Drosophila melanogaster: one gene and its partners. The protein of the gene in region 4 purifies or fractionates together with the protein of the main gene of each other region. This does not show direct contact. Each region holds a gene or a part of one and is shown on either strand. Other genes may lie near its edges. The genes, in order: CG10214, Flad1, Hmgs and Ote.

Region 1 (3,522 bases), on a different chromosome or scaffold from region 4:
TCCGAGTATCCGCCTTGCAGGCCCACAGGAGGATGATAACGAGGCCGTGCCGGACGAGAGGGGCGCCATCAAGGCGATCCATCATGGTCAACGCTTCTCCCGCAAACTGAAGCGCCGCCTTACCCAAAGAACCATCGCAGAGGCTCGCGCCCTCAAAAAGCAGAGCAAGGAGGCGATCCACGTGCTCTTCTATGCCGCAGAATTGGTCAGTAAAATTCAGTAACCTATTTGCTTTAATTTTTGAGTATCATTTGGTAAAAAAAAAAACCATAAGATTACAGTAACCAATTCAAATTACTTACGAAATGATTACGCAATGTCTGTTTGTATTCTGGTGTACAACCGTAACCCAAATAACACTTTTAAACGAAACCCATTCCACAGATTGCCACCGATCCCAAGCAGGCCGTTCAAAAGGCCAAGGAACTGTGGGTCTATCTCAGTGCAGATGAACCCGAAAATCAAGCGAGGCCCGCCACTCTGGAGCAGTTGATTGTGCTACTGACCCGCGAATCGGCTAGGCGTGTGGTTCATCTAGTGAACTTCAGTGCTCATGTGGCAGCCAACATACCCAGGTTGGTAGATCCCGCCTCCATCCTTATCTTTCCATGTGAACCCCTTCGAACCAAACCTTACAGAAACCTGGCGCACACGACAACAGAGGTTGCCCACCATATTATCTATATCAACCACCGCATCATCACAATCTCACGGCTGGACAAGGTTAAAACCATCTCCAAAGAGGAAGCTGAATCTCTTTTCAAGCGCATGCTGGCGTTCTATGGTAGCCTTCAGGGCCTGACCAATGCCTACCTGGTAAGAAAGGATGTGATACTAGCAGTCAGACGGAAGATGATTATATATATTAAATATATTCGACAGGAGCGCGTGGCCAGCTTTCTATCCGGACGCATGGAGGCCGAGAAGGTGACGGGCAGCGATGGCGGCAATTCCAACCACCGGTCATCGCGGAGGAGGCAGGATCCGAACCATTATTCAGCCACCCACAATAACATCAACGGCGTCTACTAGCATTGAATTCTTTATTGCTATCGTATTTTTATTTCTGTTTCTCCGTGCATATACGGAAAATACACTAAACGATATTGTACATCTATTTTTAACATAATGCATTTGTCAATAATATAAGCCTAACTTCACGCTTAACAATACAACGCGGACTTTTATCCAAAATTATTATAGACTCATATTGCCAATAAAGCATTAGGTATTGAAAGAATTCCTAGGGTGCTTTAAATTCTTGCTTTAATTTATTTAAATAAGTTCGCTTTGTAATACGCAAGCTCTTTGATGCTTTCTCGGATGTCGTCCAGACTACGATGCGTGAAAGATTTTTTGGGAGCGGAATCCAGAATTGCGGGATGCCATCGCTTGGCCAGTTCCTTGATGGTGGACACATCGACGATGCGGTAATGCAGGTAAGCATCTACCAATGGCATGAATTTCATAATGAATAGTCGGTCGGTGTAGACGGAGTTCCCACCAAGCGGACAGGCGCGCTTTGGTATGTTCTTCTCGAGATAGGATAGCACTAGATTGGAGGCTTCTTCGAGATTCACATCCGAGCTCTTGCATCGATCAATAAGACCTGAATTGTAATGATGTTTCATGCACCACTCGTTCATCGAGTCGTAGACCTCCTGCGGATGGTTGATGGCAAAGCATGGTCCCTCCGACTTCACGTTCAGGTCCTGGTCCGTAATGATGCAGGCCACCTCGAGGATTTTGTCCTTTTCAATGTCCAGCCCGGTCATCTCCAAGTCCATCCACACGATGTCCGTGTCTAAGCCACAGGTGCTGCTCATTCTGTCATTTGAATTGAATGCGATGTGGCTCCGAATTTGGCGGTTCAGGGACAATCCGACGCGTCGAAGGTGAGCAAGCATATATAGCTGTAGCGCAGGTTTCTTTTTGCTAAATGTAAATATGCGGCGGTTTTACCATGTGTTTGATAACATGGTATCGTTACGATAACAACTGGTCACACTACAGGCACATTGCCCAACACTGAAAGGGGGATTCCTGTCATTACAGGAACAAAACAAATCGAATATTATGTTCATACCCAAATAATTGCAGAATAATTTGTTCAGCATTCTTATTTGTATCCACCAAAGTCGAAAGTAATTGTAATTAAAGTTAAAGGTTTTATGCGATAACGACTTGGAGCCATTTTAACTACAGCGAACGGTAATTTCTAACAAACCGCGCACGGTCACTCTGTCGAGTTGATATTTTTATCAAAAATTGTTGTACGGAAAACGCAAAAGGTGTCGTTATTGTTGCAGCATGTCCTCCTCGTCGGCCAGAGACCAACCGGGAACCTCCCATGACAACTTCGAGGAATTCTACACAGAAGTAAGTGTGGCGGACGGAACCGCAGGCTCAGTTTTTATTCTACACTGGGTCGGGCTCCTTGCACGGCAGCCGCTCCAAATAAACTAAACCCTTGTTATTATGTACACTTTAGTAAATGATTTTGTGCCTATATTGCAGGTGAAAGAAATTGAAAAACGTGATTCAGTTTTAACTCCTTCTCAACAAATTGATCGTTTACTTCGTCCAGGTTCAACGTACTTCAATCTCAATCCGTTTGAGGTGCTCCAAATCGAGCCCGAGGTCGAATTGGCGGATATAAAAAAGCGATACCGCACCTTGTCAATCCTCGTCCATCCAGACAAGAATCCCGACAACCAGGAGCGCGCTCAAATGGCATTCGATATTGTGTCGCGTTCCTGGAAAATCCTCGAAAACGAACTCACGCGCAAAAGGTGTCTGGAGGTGTACGAGGAGGCAAAGGGGCGAACGGATCAAATGGTGAGTTCCAGTTCCTCGGAGCATTAAGCTCTATGATCGTCCGGCTTTAGAATAATTGAAAATCCAATTGCAATGGCACATTTTCTTTATTGTACTGTATTATATTAATTTGTTCGTTACCTTTCAGATTGCAGAAAAGCGTAAAAAGCTTAAAAAAGAGGGTCGGCCCACTGAGCCAATACCCGAGGACGATCCCACCAAGTACAAGCACGCCATCTACGTTATGGTCATGAAACTGTTTGCCGACATGGAGCGTCGACGGCAAAAGCTCGACCAACGCGACCAGGAGGAGCGAAAGCGAAAGCGCGAAACGGAAATCGAGGAGGAGGAGCGGATAAAGGCGGACCGCGAATGGCAGCAGAACTTCGAAGAGTCGCGCCAGAGCCGAGTAAACAGCTGGCATGACTTTCAGTCGGGTGCCGGCAAGTCCAAGAAAGCCAAGAAACAAAAACATATGACCGGCATGATGGTTCCACCAAAATTTAAGCCCGAGTCGCGATAATATAGCTTCCCAGCGCGGCGCCGCTCCTTCACTATCGCCAGATCACCTCCGCCAAACCGCGTCGCGTTGCACATGAATATTTTTACATTTTTTTTATAAGTATCCTTTGGAATTGTAATTGACACGTGCATAAAATATAGATGTAAGAAACACATTTCCGTCTTGCCTCTTTCCTTCTACAA
Region 2 (4,996 bases), on a different chromosome or scaffold from region 4:
CCGCCACAAACCGCAGCACATTGTTTACATACTCCGTGTCCTGGGTAATGATGCCCGGATTGGTTGACGTTTCTTTTTTGGGCATGGTCTGGTTGCTTTTGGTTGCCGGGGTGCGCAAGCTAACACTACGATCTTTGTTCCGGCGCGAGAGTATCTCCTCGAACTCCTGCAGCGTTATGGATGATATATCCAAGTTGGCGGCGTCCCAACTTGCTGGATTTTGTGCCGTGGGTGTGGATTTACGAATTGAGGAGACTTGTGCAGGCTCAGAGATGGCCGATTCCTCGCGGGACATCTTGATTTTCGTCTCCAGCAGCGAGCAAATACCTTTGGCCACCACGTAGCCCCTTTCGCCCGTTTCTTTTACAGTTTGCTGCAGTTTTTTCAGCTCCTCGGTGGGATTTTGACTGGAACTTCTCACCAGCTGCTGTGTGTGCGCCACATTCTCGGCGATTAGCTCACGAATGCTTGAATTGCTCCACAGATGACGACCGTGGGCGAGATGCTCGCGCCCACACGCCTCCAACAAGATCCGCAGTCCCCGCAGCAGCGCCGCAGCTTCTTGTGCGGATCGCGACATCGCGGAGCGAGGAAATACTGGTTTATTGTGCACTGCTCTCGCGTGGGTGATTCGCTGGTGATGATCGGCGCGTAGGATTACGTAAATCTCGTAAAAATATCACAGCAAAAAAAGTTCAAAGAATCGCGTAATGTTGTGAAAATGCGGCGAAAATCAGCTGGCAAAACAGCTGACTGGCCATCTAGTGCTGCCATGCTGGCGTTTTAACAGTGGCACCATGGCATCTTGAGCTTTTTCTAGCTTTTAAAAGCCAGCTTGCTGCAGCACTAGATTTTGCACTGAAGCCAGTGCTGTTTCTTTGGCTCTTTTAGCTTGCTTCAGCTTTTATGCAAAATTAGAAAGAAACATTCAACAACTAAACAACTAAAAATTTAAATACTCCATAAAAACTAGGAATACTGCTTAAGTGGCCTGCTAACAGAGGCCACATTTATTCAGCGGCATACCTTAGGTCGTACAAAATTTTACTAAATTAAGTTTGTTTACCGAAATCCAGATCACACGTTAATATATATACACAGCTATATAAAGTTTCGTGACTAACTGGAGTTTAAGCTATTCAATTACACTATAGCCACGCAAATGGAATCCTACTTCCTGGGCAGGCGACCAGCACGCTCCATGGTGGCATCCTGGAGCTCCCAGGCGGGCCGATAGCCACCCAGATCGCAGGAGCAGACGGCATCGGAATTAGAACCACATTCACACTCGGCATCGGTGCGTCGGAGGTGCGGATTAGGCACTGTGTTCGCACGATTCCCGATCGAGGTGTAGCCCCGATCGTACAGGCTGCAATAGGGCACCGAGTTCAAGTGGATGTAGTGCCAGACGTCGTGGTAGCTCCACTCCAGCAGCGGATTCAGGCGCATCATCGGCGGCCAGTCGTTGTCCGTGGGCTAAAAAAAAAATCGAAATTAGCATCACTAGGCACTTGGGGTTTCCTAATAGGAAACAGCAGTTTCGAACTTTCCAAAACTATTTCAAGCTAGCTTCATTATTATCTTTGTGATCTTGTGAGATTTTCAAATAAGCGGGATACATTTGGTTTTGTAAAATACTCGAATAAATTCTATGTTAGGTGGTGAACCACAGAACTCGCTTATCTGCGGAATGGAATCATGACATTCGAAAATGCCACTGTCACTGTGATATTGGCAAAGGGCACATACTTTTCTAGATTAACAATGGCATAATTTTGATACTAAGGCTGTGACTTTGATAACTTGGCTTTATAATCAATCTACTACTCTTGAGAAAGAAACTTTTCTTCACACTTGAACCTACGAACTCCTGAGCATTTCAGTGCAAAACATTTAAATATGATTTATCTCCTGATTGCTATATTCCTAACCAGCTTCACCTGCATGGGCGCCAGATGCTGGCAGTAGGGATCCGTGTTGCGGCTGCCCACGAAGACGGCCTTGATCCGCGGCATGTCCGACGACATGTGGGTGAGTGCCTCCTTGAGCGTACCCTCGTACTGAACCAACTGGACGCGGTAGTTGCGTACGCAACGCTCGACGAACTCATCGATTTCCGGAAACGAATCGCCGGATTTAATGTACAGCATGGGAATGTCGCCGCTGGAGATGTTCTCCTGGCGCAGGTAACGCATAAGGAGATCGAGCAGCACGGTGCAATCCTTGCCGCCGTTGAAACAGAAAATTAGCTCCTCGACGCCGTAGATTTGCAGGGTTTCGGCGAAGAAGGCGAACGCTTTATTTTGCCGCTCCTCAATGGCCAGTCGATCCTCGGCTGTTAGTTCCATTGGATTTGATATATCCTGTCCCTTTGCCACATCCTTGGAGTTCTCCGAACGATCCGACATGCTCCGTTTCTCTAGAAACAAATGCTTTTTGCTAATGCTCTTTGCGCATAGAATGCTGTTGTTCGCTGTAATGTTTGTGATGTTTGTGATGTTCTTCCGGCATTCGTTCATGGTGCTCAGTGGGCGTAATGTTTGTGGGAGGCGTGGCCGTGCCCTGGCTAGCAAAAACGATGACGTCACACGCTGTTAAAGTCAAAAGAGCAACTATTAGCACTCAATAAATAAAACATAAAAAAAACTTTCGCCGAAAAATATCTTTTTTTTGCGTGTGTGTGTGTGTGTGTAAGTATTTACTTTATGTAATTTTCTAGGCCCATAAACAAACTTTAACTGTGCGATGAGCGTGGTAAATGCTTCGGCGGTTGACGTGCGAGTGAGTTGGCTTATTTGTGGCCAGCCAAAAATTACATCACTTTCGTATCGGAAAAGTCAGCAAAAACAAAAAAAAAGTGATATAAAGCCAAAACCTCAGGCCCTCACACGCACACGCACACACACGCATGCAGGCCAAACACATGGCGCACGCACACACGCGCATAGCTCACCCAATAGCTCATGTGTTTCGTTGCTGCATCGACTGTTTACTGGCGCACATTTAACTGATGAGTTACGGCGACAGCAATGCAATTATTCCATTTTGTTAATTGTTATTCCGCGCCAGTGATTTTCCTTCCTTTTTTCGTCTTTTTAGTGCAACAACAAGCGAACGGCGACAACAACAACAACAAAGCCAGGAAGCTTTGCGTACTATCGGTGCATCAGCTGTGCGCTGAATCTATCGATTGCACTCGATTAAGGCGGTTGGCTAGCTAGAAATTCAAAAAAAAAGCTAGAAATTTATACATTAAATAATTTTGAAAGTTTCGTTTTGATTTTAATCCGCAATTTCGCATATCGCCAGCAAATGCGACATATATACGCAAATTTTGTTTCTGTTCCGTCTGAAGTAAAATAAAATGTTCGTAGTTTAAATGTTTTATTCGACAATAACAAATTCGTGTTTGTGTGTGTGCTTAACAACAACAATAAAAAGCGTAATTAAAGTACGCTCTACACATCTAATAAATGGGCACTGTTGGCGTTTTCTATCAACTGGGTGTGTTTTCTTCGATTCTTGTGGCTTTTTTTCTTCACGGAGAGAAAATATCACATAACTGGTGATTTCATCCTGTTCCACTGGGCGCTTTACAAATTTCGATGCAGTGCATATAAACTTCGATATAAATTTCATGTACGTTCACACTTAACTTAGACATAAATATTTAAAAACTAAGTTCATTGTCTAAAAGTTAGCAATATGATGGCCAGAATGAAATCTGAAAGTGGTGAAAATGTTGGTTTTGAAATAATGTTGCATTTGGTATGTAGAATATTTCCGCACAATCATTCAAAATATGCATCTCTTGTGTGTGGTAATTTTGATAGAGCCGTTTACAAATCGTAATTTTCATCGCTGAAACGTAAGCATCTTCGGTTTTTTTTCCGTGTACAAATTAGACATCCTTGTTATCCAGAATATCGTCGATGAGTCCGACGACCTTCTGTCGAAACTTTCGATTCTGCTTGCCGTTCATCTCCTTGATGTACGGATGCAGGCTGATCAGAAAGGAGTAGTCGGCATCCGGTTGTGAGCCACCTCCTCCTGGTCCGCCAGTGAAAACACTTAGAGCTGACGTAGCCGGCTGCGGCGGCGGTGGTGGTGATGTTGGTGTTGTTGTTGTTGTGGTTAACTTGTGATGACCGCTGCCATGTCCCTTGAACCACTGCGTCAGATCCGACCAGCCCAGGTGATTGCCCAGCGCGGCGGCGGGCACCGAGACCAGCGACTGCTGGCTCACCATCCGCTCCAGCTGCTGGTTCGCATTTGACGAATCGTGCTCCACTTTGATGGAATGCAGGCGGAGCGGCAAACAGGCGGTGGGTTGCTCCCGATCCTGTTCCTGATTACGACGATGCTCCTCCTCGGACACCTGAACGTCCAGCGGCATCTCACCATCGCTCACCTTGGCCTCCTCCTCCGCCGCCACCACCTCATCTTCCTGCTGAGCAGTGGCAGCTTGGCCGGGTTTGCGGAGCACCATGCCCGGCAGCTGCTTGTGGCAGGATCGCGACTTGGTGAACGGAACGAGAAACTGAAGATACTTCGATAGGTAGTATTTGCGCTTGCCGCGTCCCGTTTGTGTGCGTGCCAGCTTCAGGGATCGCAGGAAGCTGCTCCTTATGGTGCGCCATCGCTCGCGACAGTTGCGAACTGCAGGAGAAACAAAACACATCTTTTACAGTACAAATTTCTACGGTACAAATTGAAACTTGTTCACCAAAAGGTAACCACAGTACTGAGTTGATTTGCACATCAAACTCAATTCTTGGATTTATACTTGTTTGTAACATGGAATATTTTGTAGTTTAAATACTTTTATTTTGTATTTATTTTGAATTTATTATGGGAATTTAGTTGTACGAATAGTACTTGGTTTTTTTCCAGTGCACCTTGGCTGAGTGCAGCAACAGTAAACGAAAAGCGAAACGCAAAAGCAGCAACAAATTGCAGGCAAAAACTGCGCGACACAGTGACACACCTACACCAA
Region 3 (7,818 bases), 1.9 Mb from region 4:
CTCCGGTTGTGCCACATGCTGACGTGCTTCTATGTCGGGGGTTCGTTGCCGAATGAACGGCTGGCCTAACGACCAGATGCCATGGAAGTCGAAAAAGCCAACGGCCGAAGTATCTGCGATCCGGTTCGTCAGCCGAACACGAATCCGTCCGGTTGTGATGACGAAGCCGCACGAAGGGCACGGAAGGCAGGAAAGGAAAAAGGCGCCATGGCCCAAAACCAAAACGAGTGCTCAATTTGGGCAAGTGTCGCTGACTCCTAGCGTCGCTACTACTCTGTTTGCTCCTGCCACAGGGCGTATGAGTAATCACACAGCAAACGCCACGAGATATAAATCTAACTTTACCCAATTTCGGCCTATGGTCGGCACTGTTATTACATAACCACCATGATGGCCTTCACAAAGAGACACGAAAACAAAACATGAGCCCAAGGAGTGACAACAGCCCAGCTCCCCGGCTCCGTCTCCAGATCCGCCTTCCTCCTCCTGCCCCATCAAAAGTCAAGGCAGTGCATTGTCCTCGCCCAGGAAGTGTCGGGAGTAGCAACAAGGACAACAACTGGAGGGGGCGGGAGTGACAACAGCAACAATCCTGGCAACAGACAACGAGGAATGGTGGTAAGTGGGATACGGAAACACGCAAAGAAAAAATATCACCCGAGGCTATAAAATATAATTTGGCATCTAAATGAAGGTTAAGAATGACATAACCAGGTGATCAGTCAAATTAGAAGTTCATTTTTGCAAGATCACTTGGTACATGTATTAAAAATATATTTACATATATGCTCAAATCGCAGATAAACATTATTGTATAAGTATATATATTTTTCAATATATCCTTTTCAGCGGAATCAAACGTCCACATGCTTTTCAAACTGAATCTCCATATTATGATTCATGACATGTAAAATGATACGAAATTGATATGTGAATGTTATTATCTAATTTATCTAGATATAAAAGTTCAGATTTTAGTAATGGCTGTGTGTAATGATCTAATGGCGGAATGTAGCTCATGATAATTAACCACTCATGTTTAGGCTGTAACATATGCTTGATATACTCCATAATGTGACTTGCAGAATAGCAATGACAGAGAACTTAGCACGTTTTGTTTCCAGTGCACAACTACGTACGTATGTTTATTTTTAGCAACGAAAGTCAAGTTGCTGCGGGCCAAAAGGGAAGCACATATAGAGATATAGTTAGATATATGGATAGATAGGGAGGACGACGAGCAGGAGTTACCGACTGTTATGCTGCCATGTTCATGTTGAACTGATGACGTGGATTGGACCGAGTCCAAGGGAAATGCGAGGATAAAGGACAGAGGGACGATGAGCGGAGGGCTCCAGCCAACGCGTCGCCAGGCGAATGGAGACAGTCTGACTGGCCAACGGCTGGCGCTAATGGAGAGGGCCTGGGGTCCAGGTCCTAATCCATATCCCGATTCCAAGCCCATACCCATATCCAAATCTAGATACACATCCAGTTGGGGTAGTCCAAATCCAATACAGGAAATTGCAGCGACGAAAACAAAAGACAATAAAAAATGGAACAAAGGAGGAAAACAAAGTTTTGACGATATCCTCGCCGCAGTGGGTGTGCGCCCAAATTAATTAATAATAATGTGCTTGCCGGGGGGTGGAATGTGGGTGGGTGGCTGGCACCGGCTTGGTGAAAGTGGGTGGCTCGGGAGACCTTGCACACAGACATACAGATAAGCACGCGCTGGAATTCCAGCAGCTGTTTGGCCATTTGAATTTCCGCCTTATTGGCCGTGTTTGAGTTTTGCCTACAGTTTCGTAGAGTATATATATCATGTATAATATGTGCTTGGTTTTCATCAAGGTCCTTGTTGCACGCAATACGATTATTTATTAATCCTCGTGCAGCGCATCAAAGTGTATTTGCTTGTTTTCGCACAACACGATCTATTAATCAGCGAAATACGTGCCTTATGGCAAAATAACCGAAAAGTATTTCAATTTTTAAACAACATTTTCCAACTTTTTTTGTTTACCCAAAGAGCGAAAGAGAATTTTGTGTTCTCTTTCAATTTTCAAAGCGCCTATTGCGCTCTTTTCACCACTCGCTGTGGTGAGTTGCTCTCGCAATGTCAGCTGTTCGTTGACAGTCACATGACAGTTTTTCGATCGATAATTTTCCGCTGCTCACGGGTTTTTCATTTAAGCACAAAAACCAAAACACTTTTCGCACATTTTCCCGACTCCCCGCCCCCAGCCCACACGATCATCAGCTGGATATTTCCAGATACATCCGCAGACCTCGCGGCAATCTGCCGTCGAACGAAACGCAACAAACTGGCGAACTCTTTTTTTCAGGGTCACACTGCTTCGACAAAAAATCATAGCCACATTGCAAAAACTAATTTTCTCACTATCTTCAATAATCTACAAGAGATTTGCGCACTTTTCCTGGTCAGCAGACCTACTGCGATGTAGTAATCGGTCTTTTTTTTCGGCGGGGGGTAACTTTTGCACTTTTCACGGCGACGTGGAAAACCCGCCGAATTAACTATTTCTTACGGTTGGCACTTACTTTTCAGCGAATATGGTTGATTGTAAACGAAGCAGGTGTGCTTTTTGTGCTATTTGAAAACAGCAAGTGCGTTTTTCTTTGCCAAAAAATCAGCGCAAATCGACCGCCGCCACCCACAAATGCGAACGAAATTGTGTGGTGAGAAAAGCGCTGGCGAAAAAAGTGACAGTTCACAATGCCCACGAGATTCACGTGATGGCGCCAGTGTTGCTTAGCCAGCGAGCCAAACAGCTGACTCCGCCAGCAGCTGTTCCAGCGCCGCGCGCTCTCCAACACTGCCTGCGGCTAAGGTGCCGCAGTTTCATTGCTTAATTTTATTCCAGATTAGTTTAGTTTAAAACATATCGCCCGCCCTGGACCATTAATATTAGCAAGTAAGTTGATTGCGAGTGCGAGTACTGTTCGTGCTGCGCTGGATGAGGGCTGTGGGCGTGGCAGGTGGTCAGTTTGGGCGCTGATGTAACCAGAAGTCGGAGGAACATAATATGTGTGCAATTAGAATTGGTTATTGTAAATTGGGAAAAGCTGTTTCACAGTGTTTTTCCAGCCGTGTGTAATAGTGTAGATTTAAAAATTATCAACATCCAGTGATATGTGTCACCTCATAGATCAGTTTCATAATCCTGACCCCTAAACTATGCTTATCTCCCGGCTCTCAAATACACGTGTATTTCTATCGGGAACATCCCGACCTTTGACCTCCTCCTCCTCCTCCTCCTCCACCTCCGCACCCTCCTGCAGCCGAAAAAGAAAAGAATGACTCAAGAGCAATCAATTAGCCAAGTGCGCAGCAGTTCCAGGAAATGTTTATTCAAATATTTCCCAATTCCGAAGTGCTAAAAATAAGCCCACAAAACCACAACAGTGCCCCGTTCCCTTCCCTTCGATGACTCCTTTTCCGCATAAACAGCGCATCAATTTCCATTCTTAAATCCACGGGCTGCTTAGGAACACCGGGTGAGCTGTATTCCACGCAGGCACTCGAGGAATTAATGACTTAAATCACTTAAATTGCTTGAAATTAGAGTTTCATGACTTTGGATAATGATTCATACTCTTTTGCACAATAGGACAAAGTATTCTCTTATTTGTTAATTTTACTTACTTTAACTAAACTGTATTAATTAACTTAAGTACGACTCAAGTAATATCACAACTACTTAAAGTAGTCTTGTTATTATCTTACTTTAAGTGATTTCTGTAGAATATTTTATCAATTACCAATTGTGTTCAGGTGATTTGAAATCACGTTTCAAGATAGTGTTCAGAAAAGATGATAATCCAATTTAAGTTATACCAGTAGGAAAATTAGTAGAACTCAAATTATAAATAATTTTCTATTAATAATTCCTAAGGGCACGTCTTAAGTAATTAATCGGAGAAAAGCTATTGGAAGTCACTTCCCAGTTTTTGTCACTGAAATGGACAGAGTGTCACATCTTATTCGGTGGCATTTTTAAGGAAGCCGCTTTGTTTCGGCCTTATCAGCGATGGACAGCCTTTGATCTTTACCCCATCGCAAAAGGCCACGACTATCGATGTGCATATCTATATAGTCTGGCGGCTTCTTAGTCCCCGACGATTGTGTTTCGTGCTCGCTGGCCGTATCTAAGCGATAAATATTTCCCGTAATTATGCACGATCGCTATTTGTTCGCCGAGCGCTTTCAGCAATTGGCATTGACTTACAGCGCCTATTCTCGCCTCTGTGTTTGCTCGGTGGCTAGGTGGCTTCGTTGGCTAGGTGTCTGCTTCTCCACTGCCAATTCCGTCGTCATGGTCATATTCATATGCCAGTGCAGCGCCTCCAGTGCCGTCAGTCCGCGGAGAGATCCGATCGAGTGAGCTTCGCGCTACCCAGCCTTTTTTCACAAATCCACAAAGTTCCGGGCCGAAAAGTGAAAATCTATAGTCAATAGGCCAGTAGTCGCAGGTGCTAAACGTAACGGTAAATATGTCAACCGCTTTTCGGGTTTGGGCCACACTCGCACCTCTTATCGGTTATACAATATGGACGCGTGTGATTGAGGGAGAGTGGTGGTTGGTGCTTAGTGCTTGGTGGGCATGACCCACTTATGGGTGAAGACGCTCCCAGCCTGTCCCACAATGCTCCACCGAGCAAAATTCCATTCTATTTCGATAGGAAATCATAATATTTCGATCATCATTTTGATTTAATTATAATTTGCGCCTAACTGAAATTAAAATGTGTGAAAATGTAGAGAAGTTTCAGGGGAAGCGGTTTTGAAAAAAGAGTTATTGTGTTAAAGTAATCATTTTTGTAGCTTGTTCTCTGACAAAAAAAGTTTAAAAGAAATGATTATCTATTGTAAATAAATGTAATCATAAATTCTCTGCGTGTAGCCACAGCATCCACGCCCCTGTCCCTTTGGCTCTTTGGGCTTGTCTTGTTGGCTTACATTTATTGCGATGCGTGTGTTTTGGCTTACTTCACAGCGGTTTAGTGTTCTCTTTTGTGGAGCTCGCCTGAGCGGGGGAAACTTTCTCCGCTCCGGCGGCTCTCTCTCCCTCTCTCTCTCTCTCTCTACACGCTCAGTTTCTCAGCCAGGGAAATCAGTTGGCCCCCAAGACGGGGGCCTCTGGCTGGCAGACTTTGATGACTTCTTCAGCCGCAGCCAAAGTCACTGGCTTACACACGTCCAACGCAGCTCGAGCGTGCAACAGGTTGTCTCTGCCCTCGTCCAATTTGTAAGCATTATAAATACGCCGTGATTGCGCGGGGAGAAAGTTTCCCAATGCCAATTGGCAGTGGAATTCGGGCCACATCGAGAACTCTGCTTAAATTAAATTAAACAAGGCCTTAGCTCCCAACATCATGAAGCAATTTCGAAACGCAAATAGTGATTGTTATAGTTGTTAATAACAAAGATATTGAATTAAATATTTACTCTCATGCCAAAGCTCCCACTAAAAGTATACAAATTGTCTCTCTTACAGAGCTCAGGATTAAATAGATAACCGGATACAATCATGGCATCCCACTGGCCCGAGAACGTTGGCATACGCGCCATCGAGATTCTCTTCCCCTCCCAGTACGTGGACCAAACGGAGCTGGAGACCTTCGATGGTGCCTCCGCGGGCAAGTACACAATTGGCCTGGGCCAGGCCAAGATGGGCTTCTGCTCGGACCGCGAGGATGTCAACTCTCTCTGCCTGACGGTTGTGAGCCGCCTGCTGGAGCGGCAACATGTGAAGCACTCGGAGATCGGACGACTGGAGGTGGGCACCGAGACCATTGTGGACAAGTCGAAGTCGGTGAAGTCCGTGCTGATGCAGCTGTTCGCCGAGAGCGGGAACACGGACATCGAGGGCATCGACACCACGAACGCCTGTTACGGCGGCACGGCGGCGCTCTTCAATGCCGTCAATTGGGTGGAATCTTCTAGCTGGGACGGCCGCCTGGCTTTGGCCGTTTGTGCTGATATCGCCGTGTACGCCAAGGGTGCAGCGCGCCCAACTGGTGGTGCGGGTGCTGTGGCTATGCTGGTGGGTCCAAATGCGCCGCTTATCCTCGATCGTGGACTACGCGCAACGCACATGGAGCACGCCTACGACTTTTACAAGCCGGACCTCAGCTCCGAATACCCAACGGTAGATGGAAAGCTCTCTATTCAGTGCTACCTTTCTGCTCTGGACACCTGCTACAGGCTGTATCGCAAGAAGTTCGACCAGCAGCAGAAGGATACTTCCAAGCAGCCGGCCAGCCTGAGCACCTTCGATGCTATCCTATTCCACACACCGTTCTGCAAGTTGGTGCAAAAATCTGTGGGTCGCCTGAGCTTCAACGATTTCCTGCTGAGCAGTGAGGAGGAGCGAACGAAGCAGTTTCCCGACCTGGAACGTTTTAATACCGCTACCCTGGAGAGCACCTACTTTGATCGCGATGTGGAGAAGGCCTTCATGACGCAGTCCGCCAACATCTTTGCCAGCAAGACCAAGAAATCGCTGCTGCTGGCCAACCAAGTGGGCAATATGTACACACCCTCGGTGTACTCCGGTTTGGTGTCTCTGTTGATTAGCGGACCAGCCCAGGAGCTGGTGGGAAAGCGCATTGGTTTGTTCTCCTACGGATCCGGACTGGCTGCTTCCATGTACTCGATCAGCGTGACCCAGGATGCAGCTGCTTTCGAAAAGTTCGTCTCGCAGCTGGACTACGTGCAGCCGTTGCTGAATTCACGGGAGAAGGTTGCGCCCGAGCAGTTCTCCGCGCTGATGGAGGTGCGGGAGAAGAACAACCATGCGGCGCCCTACACGCCAACGGGCAGCATCTCCGCACTGTTTCCCGGCACCTACTACCTGAAGGACGTGGATGCGCTGCATAGACGCACCTACGAGCGCACACCGACCATCAGCAATGGGGTGCACTAACCCCGGGCTATGGTTCCTTCGGTTTGGTTTCGGTTTCGCCTACAACTTGACAATAACTCTAACTCTCTCGACCAAACCCATGTAAGCAGTAGCTGTAGATGGTATCTATTTATAACTGGTATGATCCCGAGGGGTCGCTATCCTTTTTGCTCTTATTCGGGTCCTTGTCGCGTATATAGTACTACACTTCTTATTTATACAAGCTTGCGAATTAACTCTTTCATCCAGTCAGACCTTATTTATATCATGGAACAAGTCTTAACTAGCGTCGGTACTGCAATCTATGCCTATAATTGTACAATACTTATACCTGTGTGTAATGCACACAATCAATTGTTTAATAAACAATAAAAATCAACAAAGTCAAACTCTTCAGTGATTACCTGGTATTTATTGTCGGAATTAACTTATTACACAGATCATCGATGCAACGTCAATGGACAATGTGGAAATAGTGTGTATATAAGAGCATATTCGATTTGATGGCAGCGGCTGATTTGCATATCTTGGGCTTACAACGCTGTAAACTTGTAGAAAGTTACGCCTGGGGGAGGGGAAAATGAAGTAAGTCAGGGCTAGTTAGTGTTTTGCAACGGATTTTACCATTGGGATTGACGCGTGTGATGAACTGACTCTCAGACTGGAAGACGCCCAACTTGCTGCTGGCATCGTACAGATCCTGCACATTATAACCCTTGGGATTCGTCAATCCGAGCTCCTTGACCGTGAAGGGGATCCTGTAGGGAGCGCCATCATCTCGGCGACTGACAAAGGCGACAGCATAGGAGTGATGTCCACTCTTGGTTACTGGCGTAATGGGACGCTTCCAGACTTCGATTTGGTTGCGGGACAAAACACGGCGCCC
Region 4 (4,390 bases):
GGCCGATGGCTTGTTGCATTTGCCTAAGCAGCCATTGTTGCCTTTTCGAATTGCTGCGACTGTTGCTGCGACTGTTGCAGTTGCTTTGTTGCACTTCGGGACAGTCGTCAAAGTGATCGTGGTTGTCGTCTGCATCGTTGCTGCCATGTAGGTAATTCCTGGAAGTTAATTTCATTAAGAGCAACTAGCAATGCGCGGCGTATTTATTAGCCACACGATATATTGTATGGGCCATGGCTTTGTTTTTCAAGGAATCTGCCGCCTGGCTGTTCCATGCATTTGTGGAATTCATCATCGGCGGCGACTGGCGGTCGTGGCGGCCGTGGCAGCCGTGGCAGCAACATCCCCAGCACAACTGGCATTTCCCCCGAGCCACTGATGTTGCAATTTTCATAACTTATTGCTGGCATGCAAGTCAGACCCGGATCCGGTCGCGCTTGTTACCGCTAAATATGGCGCGAAATTTCCTTAAGAAAATAAAGAAATACGCGCAAGTGCGATTTCCAGTTAATAAAATTAAACAGCCCAACTCGGGCAAGGATTTTAAAATAACGCACACCGGCCGCCGAGCCGACTTGTAAAATTCTTATTAATTCTGATTGCAAGGCATTGCAAGGATCGCAGATCAGATCGCAGCAGGAACAATTTAGCTCAGATAAGAGCTGCGCTTGCCTGGTTGCCATTGCGCCTACATTTGGTCAGAGTCATGCCGACAAGTGTTGTACACGCATTCCAGATACTTTTCCATCATTAGCCGATCGTCGTTTGCTGCTGTTTCTTGATCCAATCTGGGCAAACACCTGCCACAAGTGGAGCGCAGTGAATCGAAAGCCGTTTGGAGAAAAAACATCAGAGCAAGTGTTCAACTGTGGAGATTCCCTGCAAGTGGGCTTTATTTGAACACGGATAACACGCAGCTTAAATGCTAGTCAAACTCAAGCTCAAGTTACATCAAAACAAGATTCATACAAAGACCGCGGCGGCAGTCTTGTTTACAAAACATATCCAACATGGTATACAAACTAGATTACAAATTCGAAATAAGAACAATGATGCGCCGGTCAGTAGAATATGTAATAAACGCCGATTAACAAAAGGACGAGGAGTACAATGAACAGCTTCGACTTGATGTGATACTTCTGCTCCAGGCTGTTCAACCAACGGTTAAAGGCCTCGGATACGCTGTTATCATTCGGGCGCAAGGAGCGCCTGGCACGCGGCTCATAGCCGAGAGAACCGCTACCCGCGTTTCCACTGGCCAGAGTGCGTCTGGAATACGGGCTGATGCGATCTCCAATCCGTTCGGCTCGCAAACGAGCTAGATTCCTGGCAAATGTGCTTTCGTACTGGTCTTCCTTGGAATCAGTGTCGTCGCTCAGCTCGTTAGCATAGGTACGCTTGTAGCTGGATGAGTAGGAGGCCACCGGCGGAGCCTCTGCAGTCACATAGCCTTGGGCTGCAGTACGCACAAAACTGCTATAGCGACCGGGTGCTGGGTTGCTCGCATAGTCATAGGACCTGGTGGAACTGGTGGTCTGCGCTCTGGCAGATGGCACAGATGGCGGCAGCACGGGAGCTGCTGTCGCTTCATAGACCTGTCGGCGTGGAGGCTCCACAACCTTGCTTTTGTACTCGTACGTAGTGGTGCCGCTGCTTGCGAGCTTCGTGGTCTTCTGTCTGGCCGCGTGCTCCTGCTCCACCAGATCTGCAGCCTGGACTAGCTGCTCGTCCTCTTCTTCATCGGACTCTAGGACAATCAGGGAGTTGACCTTAAGATAATTCTCCTCTCGATCAGCGCGCTTCGAGGAAGCCGGTTGCTCAACAATGGTTTCTGGCTTCCTCAAGGGCTCCACTACTTTCCTTTCAGACCCCGAGGAGGTGGAAGTGCGCCGGGTCTGTACGGGTTGAGCAGCAGGAGCAGTTGTTGGCTTCCTGGCGGCAACGGGCTCCTCGGATCGTAGGCGGTCGGCTTCGTCGGGGCGTCGGCGTATAGCTTCCTCGGGTAATCGACGCACTGGTTCCTTGGCCTCTGCAGCGGTAATTGTGCGCCGAGCCTTTGTGGCGGGCGCCACCTTGTTGCCATCCAGCTTGTCCACCGGCGTGGAGGCTGCCGCCGGAGCAGATGGTGCACCAGGTGCGGGAGCCAGGGTCTCCCGCCTGTTGGTCTTCTTGGGACTAGCGGCCGGCGACGCCTGGCCACCAATGGAGGCGCGCAGACGCTTTACTAGAACCTTCCGGCTGCTATCCGTCACGGGGATGTTGGGCAGCCCCTGTGCCAGCATCTTGGCGCGCAACTCAGCATTGGACAGAGAATCAAAATCGTCCACATCGGCCATTGTATGGTTTTTCGCACACTTTTAATAATTCGTTGAAAATTGAAATCGGCGTCGCTTTTACGCGGTGTGTGCTAAAATAGTGATGGCAGCAGTATTACCTATCGATGATTCTGTTTTAGGGGATATACAACACTGAAGTGGGCTTGACTTGTAACAGTTTTGGCGTTTTAAAAAAAGGGAACACAAGGAATGATGTTTCATACTAATCATCGCACACATCGCAAAATCGTGCAAACGTAATAAAACATCTATGCTATATTATTATATCGTTATTTACGTTAGATATTGGCAAATGAAACAGTGATCCAAGAGTCGCAGTTTAGCTCACCTCTGTTTCGATAACTTATCGATATCGATTGCGCTCCAATGGACTAAAAACTAAAACACAAATCAACAAAAGCAAAAATTGAAGTGAAAATATAAGCTATTACAATTTACATATTACATACAATTTACATATAAGTACGAAAAAACTTTCCTGGGCCGGAAACAGATTCGAAAACAAAGGAGCAAACACCCACATATTTGAAGAGGATTAATCATGGACATCTCAAAGGCACCAAATCCGCGAAAACTGGAGCTGTGTCGCAAATACTTCTTTGGTAAGAGTTACTACCAATGAGTAATGATTGGATTTTAACCAAGTTACTTTCTATTTGTCTCGAACTTAGCTGGCTTTGCATTTCTGCCCTTTGTGTGGGCCATTAACGTTTGCTGGTTTTTCACGGAGGCCTTCCATAAGCCACCATTTTCGGAGCAGAGCCAAATAAAGAGATGTAAGTCAATATATGAATAGATGCCCATGCCATACAGTCTAATATTCCACAATTTCTTTCCTACCTTCCTCCAGATGTTATATACTCTGCAGTGGGGACTCTATTCTGGCTGATAGTACTAACTGCCTGGATAATAATATTCCAGACAAATCGCACAGCCTGGGGCGCCACAGCGGACTATATGAGCTTCATCATACCCCTAGGCAGTGCATAGACATAACTAGATTAATTCGTTAGCAACTAATGATATTAAAAAAGACTTCATTCCTAAACAAAATTAACGTTTATTATTAATCCATCAGAAGTTCCCGTATATGACCCAAACAAAAGAAGTGCTGTTTTGATTTAATTACATATTTTTTATTCACATCTAAAGCTGTTTTTGTTTTTTATAATTTTCTGTATACTTTAAATATGTGTACTATATTTTGTTGAAATTTCTTAGCCGCTAGTTATGTGTTTTGTTCATATTCGTCCGCCCATATTTGAATGCTTGATTTAGCTTTAGTTAGCCATTTTGTGGATTACATTCTTTGCTTAGATACAATTTCATTGTTTCGAATTCAATTCAATGCGCTTTATCCATCTCTAAAATACATAATTTGTATAAAACTCTGCTTGTACCGTTGCATAAGCCATTATGGTAATTTGTTAAATCCCATTTAATTGTTTTGTTATGTTGTGTGTTTGTATCCGTGAGTCGAATGCCTCCTACGATTTGATTACAAATTGCATTAAGAATGTCAAAAAACCTAGCGACTCCTAAATGAGTGTAAGGAAAACACTCGCCGATCTACACATGAAGACATAATTCAAATTGCTATTATTCGGTAAATCGCTTGCATTTCGTTTGCGGTTAACAGCAAATGCTGCCAACACATATAGTAAATTACAATATTATGTATTAATGTTTATAACACGAACTTGGTGGCAAAGCACCTAAGCAGGGCCACCAAATCAATCAGTGGAACTAATTTACAATACAAAAGACTCGCTTTAAGGTATATTTACAATCAATACTTGTTTTATTTATAAATTCTAAAGAATCAATGTGTATTTGGGATAGGAAGCGGGATTTTTGAGGGCCAGATGGGAGCTTTCTCATTCAGTTTTTCTTTTTTTTTGGGCTTAGGCTACAGAACATTAAGTGCCATAAATCACGCGTGTAGAGTCTATGAAGCGGCTAGTGAATTACTACACACCCACATTCACATAGATAATCCTTTAATTACATATATATCTCGCCATCGTTATCATATCATATATGCAGCATATGCG

What was found.
Region 1: the proteins of Ote (region 4) and CG10214 purify together in Drosophila melanogaster (affinity purification with mass spectrometry, with the first as the bait; one large-scale study listed by BioGRID). This does not show direct contact.
Region 2: the proteins of Ote (region 4) and Flad1 purify together in Drosophila melanogaster (affinity purification with mass spectrometry, with the first as the bait; one large-scale study listed by BioGRID). This does not show direct contact.
Region 3: the proteins of Ote (region 4) and Hmgs purify together in Drosophila melanogaster (affinity purification with mass spectrometry, with the first as the bait; one large-scale study listed by BioGRID). This does not show direct contact.

The regions. Positions count from the first base shown.
Region 1 is NT_033777.3:23,765,492-23,769,013, forward strand, and holds CG10214 (uncharacterized protein), read right to left. Parts: upstream 1,998-3,522; 5' UTR 1,908-1,997; coding exon 1,272-1,907; 3' UTR 1,033-1,271; downstream 1-1,032. Other genes in the region: Lsd-1 (lipid storage droplet-1), read left to right, coding at 21-205, 385-575, 639-816, 883-1,032; CG10375 (uncharacterized protein), read left to right, coding at 2,311-2,379, 2,518-2,838, 2,966-3,340. UniProt on the Drosophila melanogaster protein: 3'-to-5' exoribonuclease specific for small oligoribonucleotides.
Region 2 is NC_004354.4:12,900,376-12,905,371, forward strand, and holds Flad1 (flavin adenine dinucleotide synthetase 1), read right to left. Parts: upstream 3,142-4,996; 5' UTR 2,966-3,141; coding exon 2,954-2,965; intron 2,788-2,953; exon of another isoform or gene 2,703-2,787; intron 2,592-2,702; coding exon 1,941-2,591; intron 1,477-1,940; coding exon 1,171-1,476; 3' UTR 978-1,170; downstream 1-977. Other genes in the region: Coq8 (coenzyme Q8), read right to left, coding at 1-580; CG4404 (uncharacterized protein), read right to left, coding at 3,902-4,659.
Region 3 is NT_033778.4:16,333,925-16,341,742, forward strand, and holds Hmgs (HMG coenzyme A synthase), read left to right. Parts: upstream 1-2,165; 5' UTR 2,166-2,939; intron 2,940-4,377; exon of another isoform or gene 4,378-4,512; intron 4,513-5,190; exon of another isoform or gene 5,191-5,273; intron 5,274-5,515; exon of another isoform or gene 5,516-5,522; 5' UTR 5,523-5,555; coding exon 5,556-6,953; 3' UTR 6,954-7,318; downstream 7,319-7,818. Other genes in the region: CG7997 (uncharacterized protein), read right to left, coding at 7,466-7,497, 7,557-7,818.
Region 4 is NT_033778.4:18,274,744-18,279,133, forward strand, and holds Ote (otefin), read right to left. Parts: upstream 2,435-4,390; 5' UTR 2,337-2,434; coding exon 1,062-2,336; 3' UTR 864-1,061; downstream 1-863. Other genes in the region: pen-2 (presenilin enhancer), read left to right, coding at 2,878-2,938, 3,008-3,112, 3,187-3,326. UniProt on the Drosophila melanogaster protein: Inner nuclear membrane protein. Involved in the attachment of membrane vesicles to chromatin during nuclear assembly, and is probably required for centrosome maturation and cell cycle progression during mitosis.